Kluyveromyces lactis: one gene and its partners. The protein of the gene in region 3 purifies or fractionates together with the protein of the main gene of each other region. This does not show direct contact. Links are inferred from orthologs where the notes say so. Each region holds a gene or a part of one and is shown on either strand. Other genes may lie near its edges.

Evidence for each region.
Region 1: the proteins of MAK5 (region 3) and MAK21 purify together in Saccharomyces cerevisiae (affinity purification with mass spectrometry; 5 studies listed by BioGRID). This does not show direct contact. The link is inferred for Kluyveromyces lactis from reciprocal best matches to the Saccharomyces cerevisiae genes MAK5 and MAK21.
Region 2: the proteins of MAK5 (region 3) and URB1 purify together in Saccharomyces cerevisiae (affinity purification with mass spectrometry; 4 studies listed by BioGRID). This does not show direct contact. The link is inferred for Kluyveromyces lactis from reciprocal best matches to the Saccharomyces cerevisiae genes MAK5 and URB1.

Annotation. Positions count from the first base shown.
Region 1 is NC_006041.1:1,107,968-1,112,072, forward strand, and holds the start of MAK21 (RNA-binding ribosome biosynthesis protein MAK21), read right to left. Parts: upstream 2,902-4,105; coding exon 1-2,901.
Region 2 is NC_006041.1:1,618,010-1,622,403, forward strand, and holds the start of URB1 (Urb1p), read right to left. Parts: upstream 2,902-4,394; coding exon 1-2,901. Other genes in the region: INA22 (Ina22p), read left to right, coding at 3,485-4,177; DAL81 (Dal81p), read right to left, coding at 4,291-4,394. UniProt on the Saccharomyces cerevisiae protein: Required for 60S ribosomal subunit formation and pre-rRNA processing. Required for normal accumulation of 25S and 5.8S rRNAs.
Region 3 is NC_006039.1:966,546-970,632, reverse strand, and holds MAK5 (ATP-dependent RNA helicase), read left to right. Parts: upstream 1-1,175; coding exon 1,176-3,566; downstream 3,567-4,087. Other genes in the region: BMT2 (25S rRNA (adenine2142-N1)-methyltransferase), read right to left, coding at 1-844; SUP45 (translation termination factor eRF1), read right to left, coding at 3,793-4,087. UniProt on the Saccharomyces cerevisiae protein: ATP-binding RNA helicase involved in the biogenesis of 60S ribosomal subunits and is required for the normal formation of 25S and 5.8S rRNAs. Required for the maintenance of dsRNA killer plasmid.

The DNA.
Region 1 (4,105 bases), on a different chromosome or scaffold from region 3:
ATCAGATTCTTGCGAGGAGTCGTCTGCAGCACTGTAGAATACATCTTCATCAGATTTTACTTCGTCTTCGAGGTTATCTTCAAACAATTTGGCCTCTTCTGGATCGAAGTCACTGATGTCTTCTGGTTCACCTTCTTCAGCTTCAAGATCAGCTTCTGATGCCTCATCTTCGTCTCCCGAAGATGCAAGGTCTTTGAGATCAATATCGACATCTTCGGATGACGATCCGAAATCATCCTGTGAGAAATCGTCCTCACTGAACTCAACATCGCTGTCCTCTTCGTCACCTTCGACGTCAGGTCTTGACTTCACTAAAGCATCCCAAATTTCATCTTCGTCCAAATCGCTTTCCTCGTCGAATTCAGCTGTACCGTTTTCATCCTCTGCACCTGACTTGGTAGATTTGATGGCATTAGTCTTTGTAGAGAAATATTGATAGAAGAACTTTTCATCTGGCTTGATATCTTGCACCTTCTTACTTAACCAGTTCTCCGTGTTAGCAGGTACTTCGTGCAATGTGGTATCGCTGGCCTTCACTAATAACGAACCAGTGTGTACACCTCCCAAAGGTTGCATGATAGATGAACCTCTAGTGGTTGGCTTTTGCTTGGCGTTACGGTACACGAATCTATCCAAGAAATGGGCTAACGTGAATAGGCCAAGATCGGGTTTGACTAACTCTCTTGTTTCTTGAGTGTCACCGTCGAAGAACCCTTGTGCGTACGACTGCACAGTAGGATGGAAATGGGACAAGAATTGATTTATCTCCCAAAGCGATGAATTTTCAGCGTTGGCATATTTTGGATCACGTTTACGGCTATCGTAACCAGGTTTTTCCTTAGTTTTATCCCTGGAATCTTCGTCATCAGATTCGTAAACAGAGTCTAGTGGTGAGTTGATTAGAACATTTCTGATCTGCGGTAAACTCTTTGAAAGTTGTATCAACAAAAAGAACATACCACTAATGGCACCGATGTTCAACCAATGGGCACAGACTTGCAATATACGTTTTACGAAAGCATCCACTCTTCCAATGTCTTTATCATCTTTCAAAGATTTGTAAAGCAAGTTTAAGTAAATACCTTGCTTCGATGACGACACCAATCTTGGGTCGAGTAGGGATTCGTATAATGTCTTGTAATATCTATCACTTGTGATGTTTGTCTTCACGACAACCTGGTGAATCAATACTAATGCTTGAATTGAAGTGTTGAAATTAGACGCATGTGTTATCTTGAACAATGTATCAAGATGTATCTCGTACACGGATCCCGGCATATCAGAGAATGGGAAAGCACGATTCAAACCAGTTAGAATAGCACCGAATAATTTGGTATTTTTTTCCTCGATAACTTCTTGAGCACTTTTTTCTTCAATGACAGACTTACCACCCTTTTTACCCTTCTTGAAGTTCTTCTTTCTCTTCTTTTCATATGACTTATCGGATTCCTTGATTTCACTCTTTGATTCCTCGTTATCAGCATCAGTTTGGATTAAGAATTTCTCGAATAAAGTGAAATAGGTCTTGATTAGCTGATTTGCTAGATTCTTCTCGGAGCGTTTCAAAATTGTTTGATTAAGTGTCAATGCGGAATAGTATGTAGTATGATAGTCAGCTTGAGGCCTTATGGCAATATCGACAACAGCGTCTACCACAATTGATTTCATATTTGGATGTTGAGTTTCAAGTTTCAAAAGTTTGAAGGAAGCCTTTGACGCTACTTTGTTATCAATGTCACCTAATTTGTTAACACCAAGTTTCAACAAGTTGAATTCCTGTTCTGGTTTGGCTGTTAGCAGGTCAAAGATATGTGTTAGCACTTGCATTCTGACATAGATGATAGGATCATGGGATAATTTCTCAAAGATTTCCAAAATCTTGAAATATAGACCCTTCAAGTAATCCTCAAAATATAAAATAGCTAAAGTTCTCTTATTCAGTAGCATGGAAAGGTTTTGGTTCTTGAAGTATTTTAACTTGCGGTCAGGTAACAGACCATTTAAGAACAAATCCTTCAGAGCATTCAAAGCTTGTAATGCGGAATTTCTTGACTTCTTCCCGCAAAAGGATATCAAAGAATCAAGAGATTTGATATTATGCAATGGAGATTCCTGTAGCAATAAAGTCAAAGCACTAATTTTATCGTTCAACGTACCATCGCTTAAGATCTGGGACATAAACTTACGTTGAGATGAGTTCTTGGTAAATTCTTCGTAGTAATTAGTGTTATCTAATTCTAAGGCCTCTTTACCACGCTGGTATAACTTATCTATCTGTTCTTTCGTTAGCGGATCCTGTTCTCTTGTTAATTCAGGGTCCAAAGGAACTTCGTACCACAACAAATCTGATGGAACAAGTAATTTATCACTTTGAACAATATGAGTTTGAGTGATCATGTCGGATTGATCTTCCTTTTTTTTTTCTGCTGGTTTAGGACTAAGTGGTTCCTCCTCTTTCTCTACCGTCTCTTCTTCTTCTTCTTCTTCAACTTCTACCTCCTCCTCTTCAATATCTTTCTCTTCTTTGCCTGCATCCTCAGTAACTGTTGGTTCTTCTACAACTTCAGGTTCAGGTAGTTTATCGAATCCCATATTCTTCAATAAAGCACTGAAATCGCTCTTAAACTCGTCATCAACTTCTTCATCGGCTTCATTGAATTCAATCTCACTGGCATCGTCGTCAACACCATCAACAAGCTGGACATCTTTTTCAGAGGCTCCAAGAGACAGAGCTTCACGGATCAATTCTTCATTGGTGACAGCAGTTTCCTCTTTAGCTGGAGTAACGTCTGTCTCTTTTTCGCCCTGCTTCTTACTCTTCTTAGGCTTAGTGTCTTTGGCCTTTGAAGCTCCCAATTTGGAGGACACTTTCTCCTTCAATTTGGATAAATCAAGACTCATTCCAGATTTGCACTTGTTATCGAGTGTTGCTTCTTTCCAAGCAATAGATCAATCAAACGACAAACAGAGAAGTGGCCTCTGTGTATATCAACAAACACAGTCTGAGCGCATAATAAGAGTTGAGATGAGATGAGATGAGATGAGATGAGATGAGCTTGATTTTGGTGTAAAGGTAGAAAATTTTTGTCGTTTCTTTTCATCACGTGATTAACGATTATCCGGGTAATGAGTTTGTCTCTCTCGTTTAGTATTTACAAAAGCATTCTATGTAGTAGTGAGACCAAGAAGCGGGGAATCTGCTTGTCACATGGTTTGCCGAGAGCGTTACGAGCCAATGGACATGCTCAGGAGTAGGTAAAGCGTGAAAGTAAGTTGAATCAAAAGTTGCACAATGTATGTACTTCCCTCAAGTATCCGCCTCTCTGCATTGGAATTTCTTTACTGGAATCAATCCCAATTAAAGAATGTTTTTTGGGACCTCGCCATTACCCGCACAAACGACGTGCATGGTGGAAGCCAATGGTGCCATTAGTTGCCAATGGTGCATGCATCAATAAGCATTGACACACATACATATACATTCTTGGGGCAGAAATAGACGTGCATTTGCATGAATTGATTGGAAACTCATGGTTTCAGATGCACCAGCTCGAGGTGAACAAGGTAAGTTACGTATTGAGAACAACTCTTGGTAAAGGAATACTTCTACTATACTTCTTCTTCTTTTCATTGTGCATACAAGAGAAGAGGTTCAAGTCGAGTTGATTACCTCGAAATACAAGGTGTAGTTTTAGAGGGACATTAGGGTCATAGATACGAACCCATTGACCTGCCTAAAAATAACTCAAACTTGTACATTTCAAAAGTTGAATAAGACAAACGAGATTTTCTTTCTAAGTAGCGATAGCGAAGAATATCTATATATTCGTAAGACAATGACAATTGGTATCCTAATGAATGGACAAAGGAAACGTATAAAAAAATAACTGCAATGGCATTTGTCTTTGTGTTTTTTCTGATTTTCATCATCATTTCACTGAAATGAAAATAAAAATAGAGTGCTAATGGTAATAATGGCGTGATAAAAGTAATAAGATGATAAAGCTGATCCTTATGATATGGGAACAATGATGGCAATTGACGGGGAAGATAAAGCTTCTTAAGCTGTCCGTTCAAGCTAATTCTGGATTTTCCATCGAATGCT
Region 2 (4,394 bases), on a different chromosome or scaffold from region 3:
ATCTGAAGTCGCCACTTCGAGGATTTTCGTAAAGATCTCAACATCAACAATGACATTTTCTACTAGACATCTTTGAAGCAACTGCCTACAAACCGTTTCAGAATAATTATCTATCATATGCAAACACTTGATAACATCTTCGGCTGAAACTATTTCGCTTAAAACTCCCAGCGCAATGGTTCTGCGCTGTGATTTTTCAGAAGCAGCAATTGTCTTGAATAAATCAAAGGCATATTTGCTGAATTCATCATACTCAATATCGAGCTGACTATAAATTTGTTGAAGGCCATTAACAACGTATAAGAATAAGTCAAATGAATCGCTGTCTATATTAGGCAACTCACCATCAAACAAATGAGAAAAATAACTTTTCTTAACGACACGTTTCTTAAACTTCATATCACCTAATGCATAATTACCCACCTTGGACAATAGGTTATCAATAGTTTCCTGTACCTGCGTAGAAAGTAAACTGCCTGACATCGTTTTCTTTAGACGGAAAATAATAGCAGCTACATCAAAAGAATTCACAGGGAATCTGCTCATTTTGCTTAACTTCGGGGAATATTGCAACAAAATGTGATCATAGCTAGAAGTTGAATCATTTGAAAACAAAAGGTATTCCGGAGATGATACTTTCTTAATGATCTCGTCAGTAAAGGATAAGTACAATTCGACAAGATTATGAGGTATACTTTCAACGTTAGAAAGTAGATTTCTAATACCTACTTCAGACTCTCCTAGCACCAGCATATTTCTGAAAAATATAAGTAACCACTTGACGATAACTGACTCTTTTGGGTTATCAATTTGGACAAATTTCCATTGTTCAACAAGTGTCAAAAGGAAAGGTGATAGATTCTCATATTGCCTTGCCATATCAACATACTTATACGGAGTCTTATGACATCTAGAAATGGCTTCATCCAATAGTTTCAAAATCTTCATGTGCTCCGAGGTGGAAAAAGAGGAACCAGTACTTGACAAAAGCGATAAACTATTAATTAAAGCTGAAATTGGAGAACTTATTAGCTCTTTCATCTTGAAAATATTACTGAACTGTACCAAATTGAATAGTAAATTCGATATTCTAGAAGTGACGATTGATGAAGCGTTTTTCGAAGATGCGAGCCTTAAAAGCGATGTGAATAGAGAGTTTTCGTTATTTGAGGCATTCCACCACTTGATTTGGGAGTTATTTAGTTCCTGGAACTTCATGAAATTATCAAGGATAACCAAATCCATTCCTGAAAATTGATCACTTTTCATAATATCAACATATATGTTGCTAGCTGGTAAATTGACGTTGAAGAAGTTTGGGAATATTTTACTATAGTAATTGAGGATAACGGTTAAGGACAAAGGTAAAATTTTGTTAGTTGGGGATTCCGTGTATAAGATATTCAAAACTGTCGTCAAAACGGGTAAATCTGGCAAGTACGAAAAATAAGCATTTAAGAGCATTGCCTTTGAATTATCCCATCCCTTTTCGTTGTACAAGTCCAGCACTTTATCCAATTTCTTCAATGAAAATACCAACAATTGACTTCCCATCTGTCTGATTAGATTTACTTTGTTTTGCAGACATTTCGTAAGAGCTGTTTTCGTTAAAGTAGAAGGAATAATCGACTCCACGACAATTGTTGTGGATGGAAGACTATCAGAATCTACTGTTTCGACGTATTCTGGAATGGGAAGATTGATCATTCTACCCAAAAACAATGTCATACCAAACCAATAAGCTGTCATCTTTGGGTCATGTGATCCCATAGATGACACGTACGTTGAGTAAGGAGCCACCAACTCTGGGACGTTACCTAAAATTTTTATGACTGTATTACATTGTGTATCATCTTCCCATGGCTTAAAAAATGTTAATGTGGTGTATAATAACTTGTTGTGTAACTTGAATACCTTCTGGTTAATTACCACAGGAACGCCTGACTTCAAGTTTGAACTATCCTCAAACCAAGAAGTTTTGTCGGTAAATACGACACCAAAGTCCGTATCGCCACCATAGATTTGAAAGAATTCATCTATCAAGGAAACAATGGCTTTATTTGGAGAATAGTAAAACTCATGCAACCTATTCACAACGAACTCATTTAAAATCTTACTCTTGGTCATCTTCCTAAAACTCGTTTCTTTTAGAATGCAATCAATAAATAGATGTAGAGATTCCTCGATAAGTTCAACAGAGTCCATTTTAACCATATTCTTAACCCACGCGGTCATAATTTTCTGATTGTCACTGAGAATATCCTTCCTTAGTACCGCCGGTGCGTTCTTAACTAGTGTTATCCAAAATTTAACGAAGTTGGACCTCATAGAGATGTGAGTTGATTTCCTAGTAGCTTCAATATCTGGGTTATCAAGCTTTCTTGGATTCAAAACCTTCAACAATGCTACCAACGTCAAATCGAAATATGACAAAAATTCATCAACGAACTGGCCTTTATTAAACTGTACAATCTCTGTCATTAACCCAAATACTGAATTCGTTATCGAAGGACGCAGATTATTGATACCTCTGTAAAGAACTTTACAGTAATTATTAAGTATATCACGGATAATAACGGATCCGTATTGCACAACACTGGTATTCGAATTCAAAATGGCAATTAGTTTTTTGAGCTTTATAGTAGTTTCAGCAAACTTAGCATGTTCATTCACCTGTGCATAATATGACCAACCTTGTGTGCATTGCACAGCAAGTCCCTTTTGGAAAAACTCAGCTACAGGGCGGTAATTATTGGAAACATCAACATTGAGTAAATCAATACCGTTGATAAGAATCTGCAGGTCATCAAATAAACCACTGCTCACATTACTAACACTTGGAAGGTTCTGTTTCCATTTCCTTTTTCTGGTCCCTAACATGGAGCCGTCGTCGTTATTCATAGCGCAAACACAATGTAGTTTCTGTTCAAAAAACGCTAGATATTAACGGCTTATATATATTACAATAAACCAGCACACTTTCTTGAAGTTTTAAAATGAACCAATGCTACTGTCTTACATAGATTTTAGTAAAACAAAGTGATGATTGTATATGCCCAATCGATGCGATGAGCTTGATCAACATTTTTTTCTTCCATTCTACGCTAAAAGAAACAAATTTTCCAAATATGACGGGGCGTCATGCGATTTTCACGTGACATAATTAATTAATAGTAACTTATCACCTTGCATATTCCCTCACCTGCTTGTAAGACAATCCATAGTCTTATATATGCTGCTTTAGATAGCTGGGATATGATACATGTAACAATAAGGTCACTCAAGGATAGATATTAGCGTTTATTGTTGCTTATTATGCAAATTATGTACTATTTTTACAAAAGATATAAACAATATCGGTTGACAGAATGAAAAGCTTGGAATTGATTAACATCGATGAGTTACTTCCAGAGTTCCAGAACAGCTTCGTCAAATCTTTAACTTTTCTTCGAAGTACATCGTTTAATTGGATCCACGAAGAGAGATGTTCGCACATAGGTTTTTGAAAGTCTCAAGAAGAGCGTATTCAGAAGTTGCAACCAATGCAACCAACGGCGCAAAGAAGTCCAGATTTGATAAGTCAGCTATTAAACCATTAATTTCACTATTGATATTCGGATCTGTGTTAACAAGTGTTTCAGCCCAACAGCAGAGACATGCTGATATGGTTAGAAGATATGAGATGAAGATTAAGATTCTACAGGATTTGATCGACCGTACGAAGCAAGGCGATTTCAATTACAATGCGGAGAAGGAACTAGAATTAGTTAACAAGCTATTCGCTCGTCATGAGCTGGGTAATTCTGTTGATTTGGAAAGAGAAGCTAAGATGATACGTGAACGTGCGGCCAAAGAGATTATTGATCGTGAAAGGGTAATAAAAGGCATGAATTCACAAATTGAAGAAGAATCACTGGAAGATATCTTTCAGGATATCATGAAAGATATCGATCAACCAAATAGCAGCATCGCAGCTCCGACGAAAAAATTAGATAGTGATTCTATGAAGAAGGGTTCTGACGATATTATTGTAGATAAGGAATGGCTAGATTATGAGAGACAAAGAGAACAGAAAAGATTAGCATTCAAACCTTCTACTGAGAAGCATGTTATCGTAGAGAACCCTGGTGAATACAACATCGCAGCAGAAGAAACTAAAGTCAAGAGATTTTTGTAGGGTGTGCCAACTAATATCTTTGTAATTGGTGAAAATTGTTCACTTCATTTACATGACTTCTAAATGAATATATATGTATATATATATGGTTACAACGAATGAAACGAAATATATCAGAACTTAACTTCATTTGTGACCTTTGTATCATCATGGACCACATCCTTTTCTTCGAGGGGAGCACTGCCATTAGAAGGAGTATTAATTTTGGGTCTCACTT
Region 3 (4,087 bases):
TATACCCTAGCGCATGCATGATTTCATTGAATCTGTCTTTAGTCATGTATCTTGAGTTCGTCAAGCAAGGTAGAGGTATAACTAGAAACAAATACGTTTTCTTGTTACATTTCAGAAACTGTTTGAATCGAAGTATCATTTGGCCTCTTTGAAGGGGTGTCGGCACGAAATTCAATACAAGTGAGCATGATATCAGGTCAAATCTCTGCGATTCATCCTTTGGTAATGGTCTTTTCATGAAATCCTGCCTTTCAATATTTACAGTATCATTTGAGTTAAGATCAATCCTAACAACGGGATTAAAGAGACCACACACAGAAATATGATTTTTCGCACTAAGGGATCCCAATTCCAACGCATTCATACCCAGAGCTTTATCCACCCCGAGTTCTTTGCACCACTTTACCAATTGTTTAGATGAATCACCACCTCTGTTGGAATCCTGACCAACTGTACTAGCAAATTGGTAATTCTGCAAACCGCCATCTTCTTCAATTTCTCCACATATATAACCAAGAATTTGACATAATTGCTGACTGTGTTCAATGCTTTGCACATGAACAAGTAATTCCTCTAATCTTGGATTTGGTCGTCTAGACTTTTTGCCCTTATTAAAATCTTCCTGTAAAGTTTTATTCTTTCGGAAAAAATTCTCAATATTAATAGCGTTGGCCTCTTCATCGTTTTCTACTATATCACATCGCAGCTTGTTGCATATCACTCTTCTCTTCTGAATCAATAGATGGAAACGTCTAATTATCTTCCTGGCCTTGGAAGGTTTGATCTTCGGTACATGTTTCGCAACAGGTTTTCCAGTTATGGTCCTCTTTCTTCGAGAGAGCATTGGAACAACGTAATAAGATTTTTCACGTATAAGTTGAGGGTTATAACCCGAGTGGCCCTTACCTGTTTTGTTGAGAGATGCTCATCTCGCTTCAATACCATCATGTTTACCAGACGGTTATGTAAGAGTTGGACAGTTTTTAAGACATATCCGGGTAACATAAATAGAATCGTTTCTTTTCGACTTTCTAGAAAATCTTGAGAAAGAAGCTCCAAGAGATGAGATGAGATGAGATAGAAGAGATACCAGCATACGTGTGCATGAACAATAAGTTTCTCGGTAATTAATTGTTGTCGACCTCATTCTGTATAAGAAAAGGACAGAAATAATAATGGTATACGGTGTTTCAAAAATGGCGAATAAGAATCGCAAGAACTTGAAGCCTGTTAAAAGTGATAGGAAAGACCGTATTTCAAAGAATCATTCAAAGAAGAAGGTTAATAAGAATAGCCTTAAGAAAGTAGCCACTACAGATATCACTGTTAATGCTAATGAGTTGAATTGGAAGAGTGTTGATATTCCAGATACTTTAGATGATTTCGGTGGTTTCTACGGATTAGAAGAAATCGATGGTGTGGATGTGAAAGTTGTCGACGGTAAAGTCCAGTTCATCACGAAAGATAACAAGAACGTTAAGAAAGAGCCGGAGCAAGTGGAGGAAAAGGATAATATCGTTTTCCAAGAGGATGATGAAGATGTCAACATGGATGAATTAATTGAATTCAAGAATTTTGACGATATCAAGGAGGGTGAGTTAAGTGCAGCTTCGGATGATGAAGAGAGCGAGTTCCATGTGTCCACTGAAGAAGAAGGAGAAGAGGGAGAAGAAGCAGAAGATCAAGAAGAAGAAAGATCCGAGAAGGAAAATGTTAAGGGGGAAGCAGGTACTGTTGTCACTGAAGATCAAACAAATGATGACTTATTACAGAGCAACGTATTTTCCTCTAACGTCGATATCGATGATCAAGAGCCTCCAGTACTTCCTGAGTGGTCCGAAAATATGGATCTCTCATTCACAGTGCTGAAAGGACTCTCTGGGCTTGGCTTCACCAGGCCTACAGAAATTCAATTGAAATCTATTCCTTTAGCTCTGAAAGGACATAATATCATGGGTAAGGCTAGCACAGGTTCCGGTAAGACTTTAGCATATGGTATTCCTATCATTGAACAATTAATTAAAGACACATCAAATGATAGGTCTATCGGCTTGATATTTACCCCAACTAGAGAATTGGCCCATCAAGTAACTGACCATTTGCAAAAGGTTTGGACGAAAATGAATAAGCTTAACAAGTACACGATTCTTTCACTAACAGGTGGTTTGTCGATTCAGAAACAAGAACGTATCTTAAAATATGATGGTTCTGGTAGAATCATTGTGGCAACTCCTGGTAGATTTTTGGAATTATTAGAAAGGAACCCAGATCTGATTCCTAGGTTTGCCAAAATTGACACTTTAGTTCTTGATGAGGCAGACAGACTACTACAAGACGGACATTTCGATGAATTCGAGAAAATTTTGAAGTTATTAGGGAAAGCCCGAAAAATTAAAACAAGTATCGACGGAAAGCCAACTGGAAGTGGATGGCAAACAATGATTTTCTCTGCCACATTTTCATTGGATCTTTTCACGAAATTAGATAAAACTTCATGGAAAATCCTTAAAACAGCCGGTGGGGAGAACAATGAAATGGAACAAGTTTTAAATCATTTGATGAAGAAAATTCAATTCAAATCTAAGCCAGTTATTATCGATACTAATCCTGAACATAAAGTTACATCTCAGGTCAAAGAATCCCTGATAGAATGTTTGCCAATGGAGCGTGACTTATATGTCTACTACTTTATCATGATGTATCCTGGCACAACTTTAGTATTTTGTAACGCTATAGATAGCGTCAAAAAGTTGAATGCATTTTTAAACAATCTAAAGATTTCGTCATTCCAGATCCATTCATCAATGGCTCAAAAAAATCGTCTTAGGAACCTTGAAAAGTTCAAAGAACAATCAGAGAAAAATAGCAAGGTAGGAAAACCAACAATTTTAATTGCTAGTGACGTCGCTGCTAGAGGATTGGACATCTCGGGTATCAAACATGTTTTACACTATCACTTACCCCGCAGTGCTGACGTATATATCCACAGAAGTGGAAGAACAGCCCGTGGTGATAATGAAGGTGTTTCTGTCATGATTTGTTCACCACAGGAATCCATGGGACCTTTAAGAAAGCTCAGAAAGGTGTTATCTACCAAGAAGAGTAGTAACCCCAGGAAAACAAAATGGCAGAATGATGTCCCAATGTTACCACTTGAGCCTGACATCGTTTCTCAGCTGAGAGAAAGAAGCAAGATAGCGAGCGAACTTGCTGATGATGAGATAGCAACGAAATCACTACATAAGGATGATAATTGGTTAAAAAAGGCTGCTGAAGAATTGGATATTGAATTAGATTCAGAAGAAGAGGAAAAGGACCAATTTTTAGCTAGAAACAAAACCAAAAAGTTGAATAAACAGTTGGAAAAGAATGAAAATAAGGCTCTAAAATACCAGCTCAACGAGTTATTAAAAATGCCACTAAGAAAAGATTTAAGAAAAAGCTATCTAACAGGAGGTCTGACCAATCTCGCTGACACTTTAGTCAAACATAAAGGTCACAATTCCATTATTGGACATGATAAAGTGGATGCATTGCAAACACTCAAGGGCAAGAAGCATAAATGAAGCCCTTTATCTGCTATAGAGAAATAAAAATAGGAAAACATATATATTCCCAATACAACAGTCGTTGTCGGAGTGTGAAGAATGTTTGAATTGCATGAAAAATATGTAATGTCTTGCAAATACAACTTAATCAAATATATCTTGGTGATACTTATGATAAAGAAAAGAATGAAAAGAAAGATATATATTTATAAACACTATTTATACATCGCTTGACTGAAGAGGTTTAAATGAAATCGTAGTCATCATCATCTTCATTTTCATCATAATATTCATCATCTGAATCTTCCATCAATTGTTCGAAGTTGACTTTATAACGAAGTAGCGCACCAATACCACCGAAACCAGTAACGAATTGAGCACCTTCAGAGGATTTATCGGTAATGAATTCTAGATTGGCACCGTAGTTTTTGTAATTTTCCGCAAGCCATTCAATTAATGGTTGTTCAGAGACCAAGTCCATTTCTGCTCCGGTAGTTTTATCAAGAGAGTATGATTTGTCTTGTTCCTCTGGTTCGACG